3 linked regions of the Lytechinus pictus genome follow. The protein of the gene in region 2 binds, or shares a complex with, the protein of the main gene of each other region. Links are inferred from orthologs where the notes say so. Each region holds a gene or a part of one and is shown on either strand. Other genes may lie near its edges. The genes, in order: pre-mRNA-splicing factor SPF27-like, pre-mRNA-processing factor 17-like and pre-mRNA-splicing factor RBM22-like.

What was found.
Region 1: pre-mRNA-processing factor 17-like (region 2) and pre-mRNA-splicing factor SPF27-like share a complex: the UniProt entries of both Homo sapiens proteins name them as parts of the postcatalytic spliceosome P complex. The link is inferred for Lytechinus pictus from reciprocal best matches to the Homo sapiens genes CDC40 and BCAS2.
Region 3: pre-mRNA-processing factor 17-like (region 2) and pre-mRNA-splicing factor RBM22-like share a complex: the UniProt entries of both Homo sapiens proteins name them as parts of the postcatalytic spliceosome P complex. The link is inferred for Lytechinus pictus from reciprocal best matches to the Homo sapiens genes CDC40 and RBM22.

What each region holds. Positions count from the first base shown.
Region 1 is NC_087246.1:47,381,547-47,389,080, forward strand, and holds the start of pre-mRNA-splicing factor SPF27-like, read left to right. Parts: upstream 1-4,523; 5' UTR 4,524-4,635; coding exon 4,636-4,710; intron 4,711-7,534. UniProt on the Homo sapiens protein: Required for pre-mRNA splicing as component of the activated spliceosome. Component of the PRP19-CDC5L complex that forms an integral part of the spliceosome and is required for activating pre-mRNA splicing.
Region 2 is NC_087248.1:12,678,759-12,685,685, forward strand, and holds the start of pre-mRNA-processing factor 17-like, read left to right. Parts: upstream 1-3,863; 5' UTR 3,864-3,904; coding exon 3,905-4,090; intron 4,091-6,927. UniProt on the Homo sapiens protein: Required for pre-mRNA splicing as component of the activated spliceosome. Plays an important role in embryonic brain development; this function does not require proline isomerization.
Region 3 is NC_087262.1:21,577,615-21,585,346, reverse strand, and holds the start of pre-mRNA-splicing factor RBM22-like, read left to right. Parts: upstream 1-4,667; 5' UTR 4,668-4,732; coding exon 4,733-4,786; intron 4,787-7,732. UniProt on the Homo sapiens protein: Required for pre-mRNA splicing as component of the activated spliceosome. Involved in the first step of pre-mRNA splicing.

The sequences.
Region 1 (7,534 bases), on a different chromosome or scaffold from region 2:
CGAGGTGCGTTGTTATAATTATTATTACCCCGGCTTTAGCTCGAGCTGCCTTTCAGCGCTCATGCATTCAAGGAATTAATCCTGCCGGGTACCCATTCACCTCACCTGGGTCGAGTGCAGCACAATGTGGATAAATTTCTTGCTGAAGGAAATTACGCCATGGCTGGGATTCGAACCCACGACCCTCTGTTTCATAGTCAGAAGACTTATCCACTGGGCCACAACGCTCCACACGTTGAGGACAAAATTTTGTATAAATTATCGTATAACTTTGTAAAGGTAATACCTAACCATCATCTTGAGTTTGGTTTTAAATTTTAATGCATGAGAATGGCAGGACTAAGCCAGATGCTCTTCCTGTGTCTCCAAGGTATGTGGGTGGCAGGTCTTTTTAGTGATCTATCAATTTGCTTTAATTGTTAATGGATTAAGGCTGGGAAGCTAGACACAGCTATGTACTGTATTGTACTGCTCTTTGCTACTGATGGTTCTATCCAGTGGTGTGAGATAGGCATTTTGATACAGCTACGAACACTATTTCGGTCTGTGAATCCATTTATTCAATGGCAAAAGATGGATTTTCAGTGTGATGAAAGTTGAAAGCCTTACATGTTTTGTTACTTTCATATTTTGAGAAGTATAATGTAAATTTCGAGTGTATTCGTTTTTGTATTTTAAAAGTGATATACATGTTATGTTCTTTTATAGTGGAAACTTAATATTAGTAATATTAATGGATGTGTTCATATTTAAAGTCAAGATATTTCAACTACCTTGTATTTGAATTGATTTTTAGTTTGGCATAGGTCTGCACAAGAGAATGATAACTTTGAAGACCTGTAGATGATATTGCCCTAGACGACATATCACTTCTCACGATAGTGCAAACTTCCAACTTTTTAGGGTTCAGGGGCAAGGGTCATAGCTGTCAATCTAACACCCTTTTTCCCTTTCCTAAGTTTACTATCTTTATGTTAAATGAAGCAGCAGAAAACGAGATATGATTTGTACATCAATTACATGTATTTAATACAATATGTGAATATTACTGCTGGTGAAAATAAAAACAAATTAGTTCTGAGTAGAAGGTTTTTTTTTTAATTGTTTAAATGCTTTTGTAATAGGCCAGTTAGAAACAAACTATTTTCATCTTTCTTAACTCTGAAAGATTGATTTTTGAAAATTGTAGTTCATCATGTGAAAACAACACAAGATATAAAATGTACATTACTGATGATAATCCATGAACTTATTGCTTGTAGAATTACGAAAACAATATTCAAGCTTCTCATAGGCTATGCTCATTTTTCGACTTCCAAAGGTTTGTCAGTTCTCAGGTGGTCTTACAATTTCGTCTTAGATCAGATTTGATTTCCTTTATAAGTCGATTGAAGGATCCTAAAAGCATAAATACATAAAGGTGATTATCAATACAGTTTCTTCGCTTACCCTTTGGTGTAAAAATGTTTATTTTAATCATAGGTGCAATATGTCTGTTTATATTATAATTTCAATATGAATCGACCCAGTAGTGATTACAAAGGTCTATTGATGCTTGCTATGAGGACTATGTAATCAAGAAATTTTTGTCAATTCAATTAAAGTTAGATTTAGGACCCTCTATCACAAGTCTTGTAATCAATCGGAAATTCGCAATTGATAACTGGCGTGATTCTTGCATCAACAAATATTACCTTGCTTTACTTCAAGTCGACTTATCACTTGTAAATTTGCAACTGAAGTTGTAATTATTTTCTTGCAACACCCACTACATGTAGATGTATGTCTTATATATTTCGGCGAATTTCTCTGCAGCCCTGTTTATTTTTGTCATTGATATGATCGACACAATGCAGGATTAGCTTGTTTTAAACTCATATTGACTTGCTTGCATTGTATTGGTTTTACAGAGATACCTTCAAACTATAGATAGATACATGTTCTCTGAGAACGATGGCAGTTGAAACTGTAGAAATTCACCTTGTGTAACTCGATAACCTTTTCAGCAATCTGTTCTGTTAAAGTATGGATTTAGTTTTTGTGTTTAAAGATATCTTGCTGTTTATTATTTTTTTGTATCTTTATGTTAAAAACATTGTAAGATAAGATAAGGATTTCAAAGATTTATTGACTTTACTGATTTGATTTGTTTTTGTATTGTCTTGTTGGTTGAGGTTGTGTTTCCTAAAGTTCATAATGCTGAGATAAGGATTCCATATTTATCTCTGTATACAGTTTACAGTTAATGTCGTGTTTCCACTGCCAGGTTTGGCAATTAGATCATGTCATTTTAAATATTCAAGCTCTAAATTTGCTATTTTTGTGATATCCTAATATGGGGAAAGTGAAATTATTTAAACCCCAGTGGAGTGTTTCATAATAGTATTTGTCATATGTTTTATCCCGTGAAATCTGTTTTATCCAACTGTAACCATAGTAACAGACAGCTAAATTTCTTAGCCAATCTTAATCCAGAAAAGTGATGGACCAGACAACATGTCAGAGAAATGTTGATGAAACACATGTACATGATTTACTTAAATAAAACGACTATGAATTATTTGTAAGGTTTAACTTTAGCTTGGGTATAACTTACCACTTTGAATTTTGCTTTATAGACATGTCTTCTTCTTCAGCATAATTTTGTGATCTATCATCCTTATTCCTAAGAGTGAAGATTCAAAAGCTTACAGGCTCACAGTCACACTATGTATGGTTCACATATGGTTCAGTAAGATTCAGCATCAAATGCTTATGCAGCTGATTACATGTGTTCATGAAGTAGTAGATTATAAAGTAGAAATTTGCAATTATGACGTCACAGTACTAGGTTGAATCTCTTGGGAGAAAATTCAACTCAAAACTGATAGATGATGTGTTTTGCATATAATGTTTTGAAGTGCTGCTTGAGCCTGCTTCAGTTGTTGCTATTATTTCACGATTGGAATTACTCCAAACTGGGTGGTATTTCATAAAGCTGTCTTTGTGCGTTAAGCTACGCATGACTACGCATAACTGGAACATGTTCTTAGGTGCTCAGTCAGTTACATGTGATATATCATTTAGCCTAAGATAGGGTCACCAGTCATGTGTAAACAACTGCAGTCGTCCCAAGATTAATTGTCAAAGTACATGTACATGTGCGTCTTAGATATATTCTAACTAATTGAACGAAATAAATACAAGTGTGATGATTATTGATGCATTGTGATTTACGCGTAGATGACGACAGAAAGGTCCGAAAATATGCATTATCGCACTTCATGATATATTATCTTTAATGCATGACTGATCAGTCACAATTTGCAACTAGGTGAAAAACAAGGCTATTATTATCTCTTCCATATGAAATCAATTAACTGTGTATAATGACAGCCAGGTTAGAAGTTTTTTGACTTCAGCATCTTCTCCTTTTACTGCGTTTTATATGTATAGTGTTCAAATAATTCCTGTATACACTGTATATGTCGTACATGTACATTGTAAGCAAGCAGTGAGTGTGAAATAGGTAGGTGTGTCTGAATTATTTTCATTTTGGTAATATGTCATGGTTTACTTATAGGGATATCAGAAAAAATTACAGGACATTATTATAAAAACTAAATTCTAAATCACTTACATTTGCAGGTGTACATGTTAGAGTTCAAGAATTATGTCTGTGAATCTTCACGAAATTACATATGATGTCAATTTTGTTAACTTTGTATACCAAGTGATGGCTGTCACTTTTTAATGGAAAGAGGTATAATTATCTCTGTGGTGTCATTATTTATTATGATAGATTTATAGCAAAGCACAGGGTGCATCTATATTGATTGTAAATGTACCGTTTGTGTTACATTGTGCAAAGCACTTAAGTGGCCGGGGGATACTGGACGTCTTGTAAATAAAGACTGATCAATCATAGCAATACCTGATTTTCCTCATTCTTTGTTAAAGTCTATCTTTTGCCTGTTTCAGCACCCCCCCAAAAAAAAAAAAATTTGTGAATGTCACTATTCCAATTCATTATTAGATCATATTAATGAATGTGTCCCAAAAATGGTCATACACAGAATATTTTCAGGGGGGGGGGGGCAAAGATGCATACATTTTTTTAAACACTCCAAAGTGATCGGGGGCAAAGCAACCAACCAAGCTTGTCTTCGGGGCACTTATGCATTTTTAAAAGTGAAATTGAAGGATTTTGTGCACACTGTTGGTGAATTTTGTGATCACTTTGAGTAAAAAAATGCAAGTTTTAATTTTTTTAGGGGGGGAGGCAAACCATAGGAATCGCGAGCGTTGAGTGACAGTTAAGTTCTGAGCTAAGGCTTAATTGCAGGGATTTTTGTGGACAAAATTGGAAAATCAGTAGACTGTGGTAATTGAGGTTAATCTCCATAATCTCAGATGCATCTGAGGCTCACGATTTTTCAATTTTGTCAGAAAAATTGGCGAAGACCGCAGAATTATGATTTTTTTTCTCTTCAAATTTTGCCCAAAGAAAGCCTCCCCCCATCAAAATTATCCCTCATTGTAGCGCCCTCTATTCCAGCTGTAGCGCTATGCGGCGTTTTCACTTTTTGTAGTGCAAACGGGATGCTTGAAAGCCTTGATTTCGTCGGCCTCTTTCGTAATTCTAACTGAGAAAATATGGCGGGAGAAGTAATAGTTGATGCCTTGCCCTATGTCGACCAGGGATACGATGAACCAGGAGTCAGAGAAGCGGTTGGTATTTGGAATAATCTCTTTTTTTGGGGGGTCGTCTTTGCCTTGGCAAAACTAGACTGCGAGCGAAAGTGACTTCGGTCCCAGGTATTAATTTTGGTGTTTAGTTTTCAACTCGAGGAACAATTCTGTGACTGTGTCTTGGAGTGTGAGTGACGTGGACCTAGCCAGGAGACTCCTAGCACTAGTGACTCCTAGAGAGTAAAAATCATTTACTAGCGTATGCTTGTACTCTCCACGGAGCCAGGGATGGTGTTAACCCCATTCATGTGCGTGTACCGGGAAAAAACTGAAAGTGAAACTGAAGCCTATTCTAGCTCGGGGGCGAAAGTTTCAATTTTTTCGTGGTAGAACTGGTACACGCAAATGAATGGGACACAAAAGTCAAAAGTCACAATCCCTGGCTCCGTAGAGAGTAAGCATACGTTAGTCGTTAGCAAATGATTTTTACTCTCTTACTAGTCTTAGTCTTAAGACTCTAAGTCTAGACTAAGTTAGACTGAGAGAATGAACTGCAGCCACTCACACGTATATTGCGAGGTTAGTATTACTCACTCACACAACATGCGAGGTTAGTATACTAACCTCGCACAACACATGTGATTTCATAGTGCATTTTGACGTTTTCATTCATCACACGAATGTGAGGGACTAAACTACGCCAAACCTTTCAATATTTCTCCACTATGTTAATCTTGATCGTATGGTTTACTTTAAGTAGGGTGTCTGAAGCCACACTGAAAAGTGTCAGCATAAAACAGGCTAATTTAGGGAAAATATGGCACATTTTTTCGGGGAAGTTCAGGCTACTAGAAAAATGTGATCTGAATTGATTATTAACTTGTGTTTGGCATGTATGGAAAGAGAAAATTCAGGGGCTCCTTTTGACAGTAAGGACAAGTTTATATGATCTTTTTAAATAAGGATTTAGAGATAAATTGCAAACCCTGGCCTTATTTATGTGTGTGTTGAGATTGCCATTTCTCCATGCGTTTTCTATGGGAAAATGAAATTTCTGTTTTGCACAATTTTTTTCACTTTGTCGCAATTTTTCATTGTGATCTGGTTTCAAAATCTTTATAAAAATCATACCATCAGATAGAGCATAAAAAATCCTATTGGACTCTTTATGGACAAGTTTTTGGCATTAATAATAAATTTATAACAGCTCTCGGAAGCTAAAAATTTGGATTTGTGTGTGTCCATTTCTTAACTACACAGTCTATGGCAGAGAAATGCTGAAAATTTACCTAATTTCATTCTTCTTTTTTGCAGCCAATAATTGGATTTTTTCCAAAATGTTACATTTCTGTCAGTCTGAAGGTCATTTCTCTTCAAATTCACAAAGAAAATGTGATATTTTCTTGAAATAAGAAAAATAATTTTTTTCTCCAGACACCCTACTTTAAGGTTATTTGAAAAAGAAATTATAAATTATTTATTAAAGTGTTTTTATCGCTTACCTCCAAATCTCAACCAGGATACTTCGCTCGGTCCGTCCTTAGTCATCCTTCGTACTGCGGTGGAAATTACGCAAACAACAATCGAAATGCGAAATTTTCCTATCGAATATTCTCGATTCAAGTCGTCGGCGCATAATAGGAAATTGTACCAAAAATCAACATAGTTCTCTATTTATTCAAACAATTTTTTCTGGGGTGCACTTGACCTTTAAGAGATTTTCCAATGAAAATATTACATGGAACTTGGAAATACAAATCATAATTTGGTTGAACAAAATGTTTTCTGTTAAAGTATAAAACAGAAGAGGAACATATCCTTCACGTATTTTTATATCCAAAATATGTTGCCTTAGTATGGAATAATCACAATGACATAAAATGAAAATGGGTAAAGTACCTTCCTAATGATCATTGAGATTTCGCCTATGGAATCATTGTTTAATAATTTTCAAAGCTTTAAATAGATGAAAATGGTCATTGAGAAAATATACATGAACAAAATGATAATGTCCCGATTGTTTCGCATTACGTGTGTTAGATTGCGGGCGTTTGTGTGTGTGTGTAGGAGGCAAGATATTCGTGTTAATGTTTGCACAAAAAAGGAGAGGGAAAGGAAAAGGGGAGGGGGAAAGGTAGAGGAGAGAGAGGGAAAAGGAGACCATAAAATAGAAAGAAAACAAAGGAAAGGAAGAGGGGAAGGGAGAGAGAAAGAAAAATGGAAAGAGCGAGAAAAGAGTAGGGGAGGGAGAAAGGAAAGAAAAGAAGGGAAAGGAAAAAGGGAGAAAGGGAATGGAGGGGGCGGGAAAGGAAAGGAGAGACAATAAAAGACAGATCAGGGGAGGGGGAAAGTAGAGGAGAGAGAGGGAAAAGGAGGCCATAAAATATATATAGGTCTCCTCATCATGGTTATAAAAAGTGCTCAGAATGTTTTATTTTCAAGTCCTTGTATCAGAATTTTCAGCTCGGGCAGCTCTATCGCATTTTGATTACTATCCTGTTGATTTATTTACTTGAACAAAATATTTAAAATGTCCAGCTTTTAGAACAGATATCAAAAAAAGGTATTCACCTTTGATCATAGATGAGGAAGAAGAAAAAAGTGCAAAAAAATAGGAAACAAACTAACGAATTAATGTGACATAATTTTTCTTCATTTCAAGGCGACTCTTTACATTTCATCATCGCTGATGGCGCTACAATAGAAAATACCGCTTGACAGCCAAAAAAAAACAGAAAGAGGAAAATAATGCTGAGCGTCTAAAACGCAGCTAGCAGTACAAGCTGCAGAACAGTAAACAAACATCTTGTGAATAATATCGCGCGCCCTCTTTAAGCAAAAGTTTACAACCACGATGACCCTG
Region 2 (6,927 bases):
CTACATAGCTTTTTTTTGTGCAACACAGTCATATTTCATTTGGATCAATTCAAAATTGAGTGGTGTTTTGGGGGTAATGCTATGGTAACTGCAGTTCTGTTGTCCTCTGACAGTTGGTGTTGTAAGGATGTGATTGGCAGTGTGTTATAAGAGAAAAAAGAAAGTTAAAGTGAGAGTGTTGGCTTTGAAATGGACTCAACCTATGAAAGTTAAAGTTTGTGCTGCAGAAACTGGTGTGGTAGTGGGATGATAATGATGATGAGGAACAGGGCCGGTATTCAATGCTACTCTTAAAGCCATAATTTCAAGTATATTTTACTCAGTATTTTGCAAAAGTAAAATACTTATCCATCTTTGGTATTCAATTGCATTTTTTTTTGGCTAAATATTTTGCTTAAATGTAAGTCAGCCATCTACTAGACTTAAGTCTACATATACAAAAATGATACGCACAGAAATACATTCACACATTTGGCACTATTTGGCTCAAAATTTATAACATCACAATGGGTATTAGTATTTAGTTCAATTTGGATAAGGTAAATTCTGAGATCTGATCTGCATACAAGTTTAAGCATTTTGATAAGCCAGCCAAATTGCTAAGTAAAATACTTACAAAATCAAAACTTAGAATTTAATAGGCGGCCGAGGTATTATTTTCTTCCAGAGGACATGTACAGATTTCTTGTTGACAAAGGATGACATGATGATTATTTTGCAAATATGGCTTATTAAAAAATATATTATGTATATTCCATTTCAGTGACAATTGCATTTTTGGGGAGGGGATATTACGTATTTGGGAATGGAAAAGTTCAAAATTAATGCAAACTTAACCTATTTACGCAGGGGGGGGGGGGCTCTGAGCTCTGCGATTTAAAAAAAAAAGTCTTTTGCATGTTTTGAGACCAGTTTTGCGAAGCCCGGGTACTGGGTTCTGAAAATTACCAAACAATTTGTAAGTGCATATCAGACAAAAATGGCTCAAAATTGTGACATTTGTGTACCACGTCAATGGAATATGCGTTTTCAACCAAAATTCATGAATGCCTAATTGTTTTTAGTTTTGTTGAACTAAACTGATTTATTTTATGCTGTTACGAGAGTCTGAGCATCGTTGAAAAAAAACAATGCAATACAAAGGTAAAAACACAAGAAATACATTATCGAAGAACACCACAAAGAGTTTCTAAACCAAAAATTAGAACATTTGGAGCTTTATTTAGGGAGTTAGAGGAATAGGTATAGTATACTAATTATGCACAAATGAGCATAATCAATTAATAGCAATTTGCATGAAATAAATAAATAACTACACAATTTTGTGGATTATTAAAAGCAATTGCGATCTTTTTCTTCACTATTCATTGTTTTTAGAAACCTCATTGTAGACTTGCCTCATGCACCTCTCAAGATGGCTTCATCATTTGAATTATATTCACCATAACTTGTAATACAGTTTATTCTTTTTAAAAACCTCCATTAACTAATTGCCTCACCTCCTTTTAAATTGGCTTCACCATAATTTGTAATACAGTTTATTCTTTTTAAAAACCTCTATTGAAACTTGCGTCGCCTCCTTTTAAATTTGTAGTACAGTTTATTCTTTTTTAAAAACCTCCATTGAAACTTGCCTCACCTCCTTTTAAATTGGCTTCACCATATACAGTTTATTCTTTTTAAAAACCTCCATTGAAACTTGCCTCACCTCCTTTTAAATTGGCTTCACCATAATACAGTTTATTCTTTTAAAAAACCTCCATTGAAACTTGCCTAGCTCACCTCCTTTTAAATTGGCTTCACCATATACAGTTTATTCTTTTTAAAAACCTCCATTGAAACTTGCCTCACCTCCTTTCAAATTTGTAGTACAGTTTATATTCTTTTTAAAAACCTCTATTGAAACTTGCGTCGCCTCCTTTTAAATTTGTAGTACAGTTTATTCTTTTTTAAAAACCTCCATTGAAACTTGCCTCACCTCCTTTTAAACTGGCTTCACCATAATACAGTTTATTCTTTTTAAAAACCTCCATTGAAACTTGCCTCACCTCCTTTTAAATTGGCTTCACCATAATACAGTTTATTCTTTTTAAAAACCTCCATTGAAACTTGCCTCACCTCCTTTTAAATTGGCTTCACCATAATACAGTTTATTCTTTTTAAAAACCTCCATTGAAACTTGCCTCACATCCTTTTAAATTGGCTTCACCATAATACAGTTTATTCTTTTTAAAAACCTCCATTGAAACTTGCCTCACCTCCTTTTAAATTGGCTTCACCATAATACAGTTTATTCTTTTTTAAAACCTCCATTGAAACTTGTCTCACCTCCTTTTAAATTGGCTTCACCATAACCCAGGACCAAAATCCAATTGAAACCAGTTGGATTTCCAACTGGTTTCAATTGGTTTCAATTGGTTTTAACTGGTTTCAATTGGTTTTAACTGGAATTTAACAATTTCCAGTTGAAACCAATTGAAACCAGTTGGGCAACTGGAAATCCTAACTTTAACCTCCTTTAATTTAAATTGGCTTCACCATAATTTGTAGTACAGTTTATTCTTTTTAAAAACCTGCATTGAAACTTGCCTCACCTCCTTTTAAATTGGCTTCACCATAATACAATTTATTCTTTTTAAAAACCTCCATTAAAACTTGCCTCACCTCATTTTAAATTGGCTTCACCATAATTTGTAGTACAGTTTATTATTTTTTAAAAACCTCCATTGAAACTTGCCTCACCTCCTTTTGAATTGGCTTCACCATTGTAGTACAGTTTATTCTTTTTTAAAAACCTCCATTGAAACTTGCCTCGCCTCCTTTTAAATTTGTAGTACAGTTTATTCTTTTTAAAAACCTCAATTGAAACTTGCCTCACCTCCTTTTAAATTGGCTTCACCATAATTTGTAGTACAGTTTATTCTTTTTAAAAACCTCCATTGAAACTTGCCTCACCTCCTTTTAAATTGGCTTCACCATAATACAGTTTATTCTTTTTAAAAACCTCCATTAAAACTTGCATCACCTCCTTTTAAATTGGCTTCACCATAATACAGTTTATTCTTTTTTAAAACCTCCATTGAAACTTGTCTCACCTCCTTTTAAATTGGCTTCACCATAATACAGTTTATTCTTTTAAAAAACCTCCATTAAAACTTGCCTCACCTCCTTTTAAATTGGCTTCACCTTAATACAGTTTATTCTTTTTTAAAACCTCCATTGAAACTTGTCTCACCTCCTTTTAAATTGGCTTCACCATAATATTCAGGTAAGGTATATTCATTCTTTTTTTAAAAAACATCATTGTTCACTTCCCTCACCTAGATCATTTGGGTATATATAATACCTTTTATTCTACACTATTCTTCCCTTTAAAAAAACCTGATTGTACTCCTGCCTCCCCTGATCTGACATTTGCCTCTCAACGTACTGGAAATAGATACCCTTTTTTCAATATTTTTGTGTTTTTGACACCCTTATCACGTTACGTACGTAACGTGCCCTCTCTTGAAAAAGACATCCTTTTTACGTGTTTTTTTGGTTGCGCATGGTATCCACTCGTCAATGTAAGTGGCACCCCCGGGCGTACTGTACAGTGTTATTTTATTATCTCTTTATATCGGAAACTTCGTTTTACCGAATTGCCATGCACTCTCTCCGACGCGTAATTGAAGTCTTAGACAGCATGGCATACTACCAGCCGATGGTACACACACGCACGCACACACACGTTATTTGACAACTTGTCTCTGGAGCCAAAGTTCCTCGCATATATATCTGCATGCCTGCACGCAGTGTGTATTGAACACGCACGACCACGATCTAATGAATATTCATCGGCGAGACTGACGTCATTTTACGAGTCTCCTTTCAAACTTGGATCATAAGTGCCTACCAAATAGAAATGGCAGCGATTTCAGCTTTGCAGGCTTATGGAAGTGACGAAAGTGATGGAGATATTAGTGATAAGGAGTCCAATTCTGAAGATGCGACGGCACATCTCAGACCACTTGAGAAGGATCGGACCATTAAATCTTTGCAAGTGAAATTACAATTGAACGCAGCACCAACGGTGGACGAAACAAGTGACGTGAGTATTTGTACGTTGTCCCATATATCTGACTTGATGTTGGTAAAAATAAAATAAAACTAGATTTTAATTCGTCATGCGGACGAATTAGGTGGTCTGTCCTTATTCTCGCCATCATGATCACTATTTCCATGTTCAAGCAGATCAATATGATCTTCATGATGACAACGGAATGTTCATTATGGATGGAATACTTGCGAAAGTCGGGAGATGATAAAGAACTGTGAAAAGGGTCTCTTGATATATGAAAATACATGTGATATGAAAATAGTAATTATAATCTGTTTAATCTTGCTAATTTTTAACTTTCATACCTTTTGAATACCATAAAGGATCGTGTACGAGGTGGTAAAAAGAAAAAAAAAATGAAAAAAAAATCACCTTGTTCACCCCCAGGACTCGAGCCTGCGCCCCCGAGATCTCAAGTCAAGTGCGTTATCCATTGAGCCACGATATTCCCCATAGAGATTACACGTTCCCATAGAGATTACACGTAAGCAAATTTGAGAATTGCAAATCCAACTTTGCAAGCGAAAAACGGGCATGATCCCGGTATCTGATCAAAAAATGGAGGGCACACTTCCGAAAGCTGAGAATCTTAGCTACACCATATTCAAAGCTCAGAGACAACTGACAAAAGAAAATGGAGATATAGCTCACGAAATAGAGGAATGTAGAATCTAGTTTTGAGAAAAAGTTATGTCCCATAGAGATTACACGCAAAATGAGTAAAAATGACATGCCTTTATTATTTGCAATTTTTCAAGATGATCCGTTCATTAAAATGAAAAATAAAGGCAATAACTCAGAAAGAGTAAGACCTAAGCTACAACATATCGAAAATTGGGCGAAAATTAACTAATATTCACGGAGTTAGAGCCTAATTTGCATAATGGTTATGACGTCATAACAAGCAAAATGGATATTTTGATTTCCAACGCAGTTTTGATGACGTCATGATCAAATTGAGAGACAATGGTGACATGAAATCAAATCTACAACTCATATTCTATCGACATTTGAAAAAAAAATTGGGGGTCAACGGACTATTTAAAGAGCTACAGTGAATTTCCAATAGGCATGTTTTCGCCCATATATGGCCTGTAGTGAGAGCTCGCGCGCACACGTGCTGCAAACTTTAACGGGTGTTTATTTCGTTATCAATGGTCATAGAAGGTTGATCAAGGTATCAAATTGCTCAGAATTATATCATCAATGCAATGATGTAAAAAAAACTGTGTTTCTGCGTTGCGTTATGGCGTTGCGCGCGGAAACGCGCGCGCATACGTGCATGCGCGCAATTTTTTTGAAATGCTTAAAATGACTTGAAACGTACCCAAAAAAATTTATAAGCCATTTGGAGAATTTTTTTGGCTTTGACGCGCGTGTACGCGCGCGTCTTGACCTTTACATGACCTTTGATGACATTGACAGATGACCTTTGATTTAAAGTTTATGTGATGTAAATATGGTTGATTATTGATGATCCGTTATGTTGATATGATCAAATTGAGAATTTTACAAAATGGCGCGTAGATGACGTCATCATGACCAGATGACCTTGAAAAGCTTAGTATGCCGTCTCTATGATAGACTCTATATATGACAGAAAAATCAGCCAAAATGATTCAGCCAATTCGGAGAAAAGTTGGCGACAAACATAGGTGCTAAAAATAAATAATAAAGAAAGAAAATTCTGACGAAATTAAGAGGTGATCTGTCATAGACAGACCACCTAACTATAAATAACTTAGAAGTTTAGACATGTTACTGTTAGAAGACGTGCATCCCACATTGTCAATTAATTGCATGTGTAACGTTAGACAGCTGGCAGCCGTCTGTTTCGAGGAGTTTTTTAAAACATTTTTTTTATTTTCTCCTCGTACACAGACGGCTCGCTATCGTGCAGCCACCATTAGGCCTAGGGCACTCCTAGTACCAATGAGGTCCAACATTACATGTATGGACCTCATAGGCGACATCAGTAGTATTTTTGGTTAGAAATCTCTGAGAACAGGATATTTAAACATTATATCACAAGTACAAGCTATAATTCCTTTCTCTTATTTAAATTATAATTTTATAGTGTAAATGCATCGTTAGCAACAACAAAAAATGAAAGAAATGAAGGGGAACTTACATTTTCACGGCTTTTTCCTGATTTTCTGGGCAGCTGCTCTTCTCTTCTGACTCGCGATCGAAGCTGATATGAAGATCACGTGATTCGCGTTCTCGTCAGCTGATCGGTTGGTTATTCTTTTCGTCAGACGTTAATAATATATATTTTATAATGCTAGCATTCATCGCTAATTTAGGTGAAAGAGATTGAAGTTAAACAGCGCCAGGTCGGAATCATAATTATTTTGGAAGAGTGTATTTATACACTCGATCTCATACCTGACGTAGACGGCGCTATTCAACAAATGCACAATCTTCAATATAAAAATAAAACAGAAAGAACGCCTTGAACACAGGCCAAAATGCCTAACGATTTCTCCGCGGCATTAACAACTATCGTAAAGGGCGCTCCATTTATCAATAAAGATGGACGCTAAGCTGTCTATGGCGACAAAATTTGCCGCAAATATTTACGAAGAATTGTGAGAAATGGTCTGAAAATGCAACAAAAGAACCGGTGAGTACCGATTAAACATTATTAAATTTGTAAATAGATTATACATACCTTGTAGATTTAGTTTTTAAGGTGATATTAGTGCTTAGTTCTAAGCTAGGGAGGCCCAAACGCGCGTGAGTGGAGTCCCAGTTTATTAGCACGGGTAAGTATTGGGGTGTCGCCTAGAGTGGCCTAGGGGACTTACAATGCAAAATCCCACTCT
Region 3 (7,732 bases), on a different chromosome or scaffold from region 2:
TTTGCAAATAAAACATAAAATCATTTTGATAAAAGTTACACACACAGAAAAAAAAATATGTAAATTGTTTATTTTTTTTACTTTACAACCACTTCAATCTTTTGATTTTTCTTATCATTTAAATTGATCAGATTTTTTCACTAACTTTGTAAAGTACAATAATGAGATTTCACTTTACAAAAAATCACCAAAACTTTAATAAGAAACTGGAACAGTTAGCCCTTCCTTTGGACCCCCCCCCTAATTTTTCCTTATTTTTCCCCAAATTTTGTAGCAGCTGGCAGCCAGGGCCAGTACTACAGAAAGTTTTCGAGGCACGTGTCAACTTTCTAAAATCAATACGCACACCCAGAGCAGTTGAGCAGTTCAATGTCATTGAAAGAGCTTTAAAGCCTTTGTTATATCTCATGGATTATTGTTTGTGATGGTTGGATGCACAGAACAGATGCTTTGAAGGGAAAATCTAGGTCCGAAGTGAGAACCAACATGGAAACTATTGTGTAGACTTGAGAGATCTGATTGATCTGAGATTGATATGGAAATAAAAATTGATGACATAATAACAAATTTGGGGGTGTTTCTCTAGTGGTTACTGAGGATATGATTTGTCGAGTCAAGCCCCCTACCCCGAAAAATTGTTATTATAAAATGCTTCTGGAACTTCTCTGCTTAAGTGCTTCAAATTATTCTTTTCTAAATCTTTCAGTTCTACTGAAGAGGAATCACAAGGATCTGTTCTATTGACTGCAGCAAGGACAATAGAATGATTATTTTTTTCAAGAAACATTAATAATTCCCAATATTTTTCCCCATAAATGCCAGTCACAATTATCATAAGTAGCCTAATCATAAGCAATATCATGTTATTAATATTCCCATTCTAAGGGCAAGGCCACTTGTCCACAGGGCACATTATCTACTAGTACACCATAAATAGGGAATTAAAATGGGAGTTAAACAATAAAAAAATGAAAACAGGAGTACCAGTACAACAAATCTTCAAGGCCAATGAGAGGGGCTTCAAAGCTAATCAACAGTGCATCCAAGTCATGGTGTTTGAGGCCTTTAATATTGGTATAATTTCAGTCCTGAATCATGATCACAATTACCAGCACGGCACAAAATATGGGGGCTCAGGCGAAATCGCCCAAAAAATGCCCCAATAGCCCTGGAAAAATTCAAAAGATCCCCTGATATCCCTCTAGAGTCCAATGAACACTGTGGCAAATGTGACGTGTCAAACGAGGGCTGGTGAGCTAAAAAAAAGTAACCCCAGAAGATTAATGATTCATACCTAAAAAACAGTAATCAATATATTTATGTTTGTTATGTAATAAAATACAAATTTTTGCCAACCAAATTTGGTTATCATAAGAGAAAATCTCTCAGCTAAGTCCTGTACAGTGTAAAAATCTGCTACATAAAAAATACCTTTTCTGTTTCAGTCTATAAAAAATGTGAAGCAAAATGCAATTTGATACCAGGAAAATTATTCACAATATAATATAACCACCAGCATCACAATAATAAAAATATCAAAATGATTTGCACAATCATAATCTTCAATTTCATTATGATGAAATTGATGATTATGCACCATGCACCATAATCATAACTTATCATCACCATCATCATCATCATCACCACCCCACCGCTATCATCATAACCATAATCATCACATCATTATCATCAGCAATCACTGTCATCATCATCAGGCCACCACCACCACCACAACCATCACTGTAACCAGTGGCGGACCGTGACCCGGAGGAGACAAAGCATTGGAGGGGCACAGCATTGTTCACAAATAATACCATGAATACAGTGCCCCTCCAATGCTTTAATTGTCTCCTCCGGGTCACGGTCCGCCACTGACTGTAACATTTCATCTTCACCATCATCATTTTGGTACAATCTCCGAAATGCCAGGAGTTCAATCACTTTACCATCATATTCTCAGTTTTTATCTCTCAAATTGTGTTTGACTTCCCCACTTTCAGTTTTAACATGAACATCAATGTTCGATATGCGCAGCGCGGCGTGTGGGTAGAGCGGAAGAACGAATATCACCTGTATCCCACAACGCTGAGACCAACAACCCCGGAGTTCCCCGCGGAGTACATCCCAATCCGCATCACATGCACTGTATTATTAACCTCCAAAATCTAAGCAACATCATAAACTTAAAAACGACGAACTGCAACAAAAAGGTTACTCACTGAATTATCTGCATTCGTTTATATGTCAAGATGGATCTCTTCCTCTGTCACATAAACAGATTCAGATGTTTGTTATCTTATTTCAGCGTAATTAAAGATAAAAGTTCACCGAATACAAAATTTGCCAAATTGACTCCAGGATTGACTTCCAGCTTCTACACACGTAGCAGACGATAGAAAACCTGCGATATCTGCTATATCGCGATTTGCCTATGTTGAGGGCGTAAGTGCAATGGATTCGAATAGAACATGCAATAGGCTTCATTGCTTTTGATTTTCATTGATTGGGGGGTGTAATGTTAACCCGGAATGTTAAAGGGATGGTCTAGGCTGAAAATATTTATATTCAAATAAATAGTGTAAAATTCACAAAGCAAATTGCTGAAAATTTCGTCAAAATCGGATAACAAAATAATTGAATTTTAAAGTTTATAAATATTTTGTGAAAACGGTTATTCGCACATCGTCATGTATATTCATTAGGTGGGCTGATGATGTCACTCCCCACTTTTCTTTTTCTTTTGCTATTACATGAAAACATAAATGTTTCGTTTTTTCATACATGTGTAAATAATGTGTCTCCATTATGATGAAATAAGTTGCGGCAATAAATAACTAATGCACTTAATCAGTTGTCAATCCACTTGTTTTCGTTCTTGGTAGAAAAATTTTGAATAATCCTAATTTCATATAATAAAATACAAAAGAACAAGTGGGGATATGACATCATGAGCCCATCTAATGAATGTTCATAAAGACTTGCCTAGAAATGTTTCACCGGAATAATATGCAAATGTTTAAAATTCAATAACTTTGTTATTTGTTATCTGATTTTGATCAAAATTTCAGCATCTTGCTCCGCCGTAAAGAAGAAGAAAAAGGAGAAGAAGAAGAAGAAGAAGAAGAAGAAGGAGAAGGAGAAGAAGAAGAAGAAGAAGGAGAAGGAGAAGGAGGAGGAGGAGAAGAAGTAGTAGAAGAATATAAGAAGAAGAATATTAATAATAATAATAATAATAATGATAACAGTAATAATAATAATAATATAGCAGGTCTATTGCTTCAGTGTTGAACAAGTCAGCTATCATGCGATATAGGCCTAAACTGCTGACATCGACAAATTTATCAGAATGTCATGTGTACTATATGCCCATACTCATAGCACTCGGAGACCGGGGCTCTTGAAAATGAAACAAATAGAATGACAGTCGATCTTCACAGGAATAATACACACACAAAAGAAAATATATTTTTATTTTCCACTGCACCTGCTTTTGTGTGAGTGCTGTGGTGAACAATCAGCACTGCATATACTCGAAATTAGACATTTCATATTTTGTATTGTTACACCTCTAGCTGTGAGCTAAACTCATTATTTATGTGATGCCATTAAGAACTAGACAGTGAGAGAGTGGGAGACACAATTATAGTGTCATTTTTTTCCTAGGCTTTTTTATGGAGTGGGTGTTTAATTTCACTCAAAATTGTGAGGAGTAGACCTATATACCTGCGCCATTCCGAATTCTGAACAAAACTCATCTCATCCATTATAAATGCATTCAATACATACCAGTCCCGAAAGCTAACAAATTGTGTTCTTCGAGTGATTTTTTAGGTTATGGGCCCATTATTCCTAGGGAGTGTTGCAAGAAAATATTTGCAATTAATTGTAAATGTTACAAGTTATAGATCAATTTTAAGAAAAGCAAATCAACGGTATTCTTGTTATACAAGGAGAAGACAATTGCAAATTTGCAATTAATTTCAAGATTTAAAACTGACATGCAATCGATTGCAAAATTCTTGCAACATCCCATTAAAATCGCTCATTAGAAATACAAATAACGAAATAAGCTTCCAACTGGTTATCCTGTTCAAGCCTATGATTTTAACGCTACTGTATACATGTATGGTGACTTGGAAAATAGAAGCAATCAATCAATCAATCAATCGATCAATCAATCAATGTGGTGGTGCCATGGCCGAGTGGTCGAAGGCGCCTGGCTACACATGGAAAGTCCGGGGTTCGATCCCCGGCCGCGGCACCTATGCCCTTGAGCAAGGCTTTTATTCTACAATGCTATTTTATCCTGTTTTCAAATAAATGGAAATGCTATATTCATTATTGGTAACTAGGTGTGCAATTGTTTTATTAAAAAATCGATGATAAAAGTATGGGTGAGAACAGATGATAAGAATAGTGGGATGAAAAGAAGTCATCAAAAACCTAAAAAGTCTTTGATTCAATGTTACTCTGAAAGTACATGTAATCCTACAAAGTAAGTTAGATGTTCAGAGAATTCTACAAAATACAAACAAAAAACGTATTCAATAACAAATCATAATTGTAAAAATTAACCGAAAAAAGCACTTTAAAAATTAAGTTGAAAAATGAAAAAGATAAATATTTTTACCAAAAACTAAACTGACTAATTATAAGCGATACCGTATGCCTTTATCGCCTTGCTACTTTTATTTTCGGTCGGTAATTTCAGTTTAAGAAAGCAGCACAAGCGATGGCGGTGAGCAAAAGCGCAAACACCTACAATCGACTGAATTGGGAAGAAGCTGTAAGTATTTTACGAATTAATTTTATCTTATTTGGGTCATAATGTGAATCTTCATTATTCCCTCAAGAATTTCATCAACATTCCGTTTGATTTCATGTAAGATTTACAAAGATCCATGCTATTTTGCAATCTCATGTTGTGGAGTAATTTTTGGTTGTACTGTCCCACCTGTTGGTATTCGTGTATTGGTTTCTGTGATGAAGAGAAAAGAAGAAAAAAAAGTGGACGTGTGTGACTCATTGCTCATTGAAGCTAATTGACAGAAATGTCGGTGCGAAAGCCTAATTTTTGCTTGAATGTAACCATGAATATGGATGGAATATATAATCTGAATGTCAACTGTGTGACTGATAGGAAACGTCAGCTGAGCTTGCTCAAATCTTTATGCTTTCGCTTTCGTTTCGGCGTCAACATGAAATGCAGTTCAGCATGAGCAGTTACATGATGTAGTTTGAGGTGCACAAGTCTAGAGTAGCCATTAGGCTCCTAGAGAGTAAAAATTCACTAATGTGTCACGGAGCCAGGCAGTAGAGGCGCATGGCCAATATGGGAGACTCTCTCCAATAGGGGAGACAATCTCCCACATTGGAGACTTGCTTTGCAAAAGGACAAAAGAAACAACACTAACAAAAGCATGATTTTTTCCACCCAAAATTTTGTCTCACTGAGGTCAGAAGCCCATTTGTTTTGTGTGTGATTGACAACAAAAATCCTTATCAAAACAAAAGTAGACGGTGAATTTTTAAAGTAGACGGTGAAAAGGGGTAATTTTTTATGAGGAATCTACTTATTACATTTTTATTTGCCGCCAAGGTAATCCTTTTGAAGCAAATGTAAACAAAGGAAATTGGACTCCAAAACTGGAGACTGTCTCTAAAATTGGATACCAAAATTCTTTACAAAAGTCTCTGATATTGGAGATAATCTCCCACATTGCAGATAGTCTCCAATATTGGCCGTGCGCCTCTACTGCCAGGGGTTGTGCCCATTAATCATGCGCGTAATGTTGTAACCCGCACCCGTTGCGGTACGGGTTAACCTGCCGGTATGCCCCCGATCGCGGGTTGCGGGCCGGGCCGAGTTCATTCTCAAACCCGCAGACCGTCATGCCAAAAAAAAGGGAGAAGTAACGACGCATAATAAAAACATTAACAAAATAATAAATGAAAATTGAGTTAGGATCATGTGCTTCTTACGTGGCGGATTCTTTTAGAGACGTAGATATTTCCTTTAAAAAAAATGCTGGCGTATTTTTGTCTTGTGAACAGTGAACAGAACTGAGACAGTTCGACATAAATACATCGAGTTGCTCTTTTGAAGAAGGAGCGCGCGCGCCAGTGCAGCGCAGCACAGTCTAGTCAAAAGCAATCGCATAGGCCAATGAAACTCGATGTCGAGTTTCCCGTCCCATTTTTTCAAGCTCATAATGAGGATTTCATTATTTTCCAGAAGATGAAAGTTTGACCTTTTGTAACCTTTGAACGCACTTTTATTCTGTGGAACTGTCTTGAAGCCAGGGAGCAAATCAATCATTTTTTTTCGGGGGTTCCATTTTCATTTTTTGGGTAATATTTCAGGGTCTCCATTTCTACCGTTTTGGAGGCTACTTTTTTCATTTTGGGGGCTCTTTTCAAATGCTACGTTTTTGTATTTTGAGGAATCCCTGTTCACTTATTAAATTAATTATTACTTATTGTTTAATATTGAATGATTTTAAAGTTATTTTTTTTCATGCTTAGAATCTTGGATGTGGGTGTGTTTGTGTGGGTGTGACTATGAGTTGAACTTGGATATAAATGAATTCAATATCTAATTTCTACTCCATCTAATTCCAGTACTTGGCCATGTAATAAAGGCCCACATACCCTAACTTTTCCTGATGTTCTTTGAAAACGCAGATCTCCACGAAAATTGCATTTCTCTATGGGGGAGTCTAAATTTGGTGAGAATGAACTCATTAATAACTTAAATATACATGACAATGAAGAAATCATCTAACTTTATTGGCAGTTTTGAATAATATTCCCGAAATATAAACTTTACAGAGCGAATTGTCCCCCAGAGCTCTGGCAGAGAGACAGAGCTCAGACTGGCTAGCTAGTACAAGCGCCAATGCGTACGTGCGTGAGCCTCCCGTCGGCCTTGTAAAACAGATTGAGTTTTGTTTGATGATTTTTTTGTCTGATATGCCGTATGACAACTCACCAATGCGAGGTTACTAGACTATGGGATTTATTGAGGTAGCTCGACCAAACCTCGAGCGATGTTCGTGCAGGCTCCACTCCACTTCACTACCGCTACATCGGGTAGGTAGAGCGTAGTGTAGCAGAAGTGAAGTTGAGTGGAGCCTGCGCTGCACGAACATCGCTCGAGGTGTGGTTGAGCATGCAGTGTCATTCCATTCACAAGAAAAAAACAAGAAAAGAATTACAGGTATTTACATGATATACAAGTAATTGTGACTGAAAAGCTTATATTAATGTTTTATATCAGTTCTGAATCTATATCTATGTCAAAATAGTAAAATAATGAATTATTTTCAGAATTTGATTTTTAAACGCGGTCCAAATTTCATAACGCGGGCGGGCGACGGGAAACCGAACATCGAATTTGCTGGGCAGCCTGGGCTACATGTAGCTAGCGCGCGCTGAGCTGCGGCTCCGATCCGAGGAGTTAATTGCGCAATGCTTTCGATTACGAGATCAGAGCCGACCCATTTCGGGTACAAAGTAACCCCCAAAAACATTTTCTCTCCGGAATAAAAGGCAAATTTGCAAATTGTAAGTAAATTCACTCTAGGCTAGGTTAGTAGTTGGCATATATTTTCGTGATTTGAGCCTGTATAGTGTGGGGATTGCAGAAATAATTTTCACTTTTCAAAGATAAATTTACTTGCGGGTTAAAACCCGACGGGTCAGCGGGTCCCGCTTGCAAATTATTGGATTA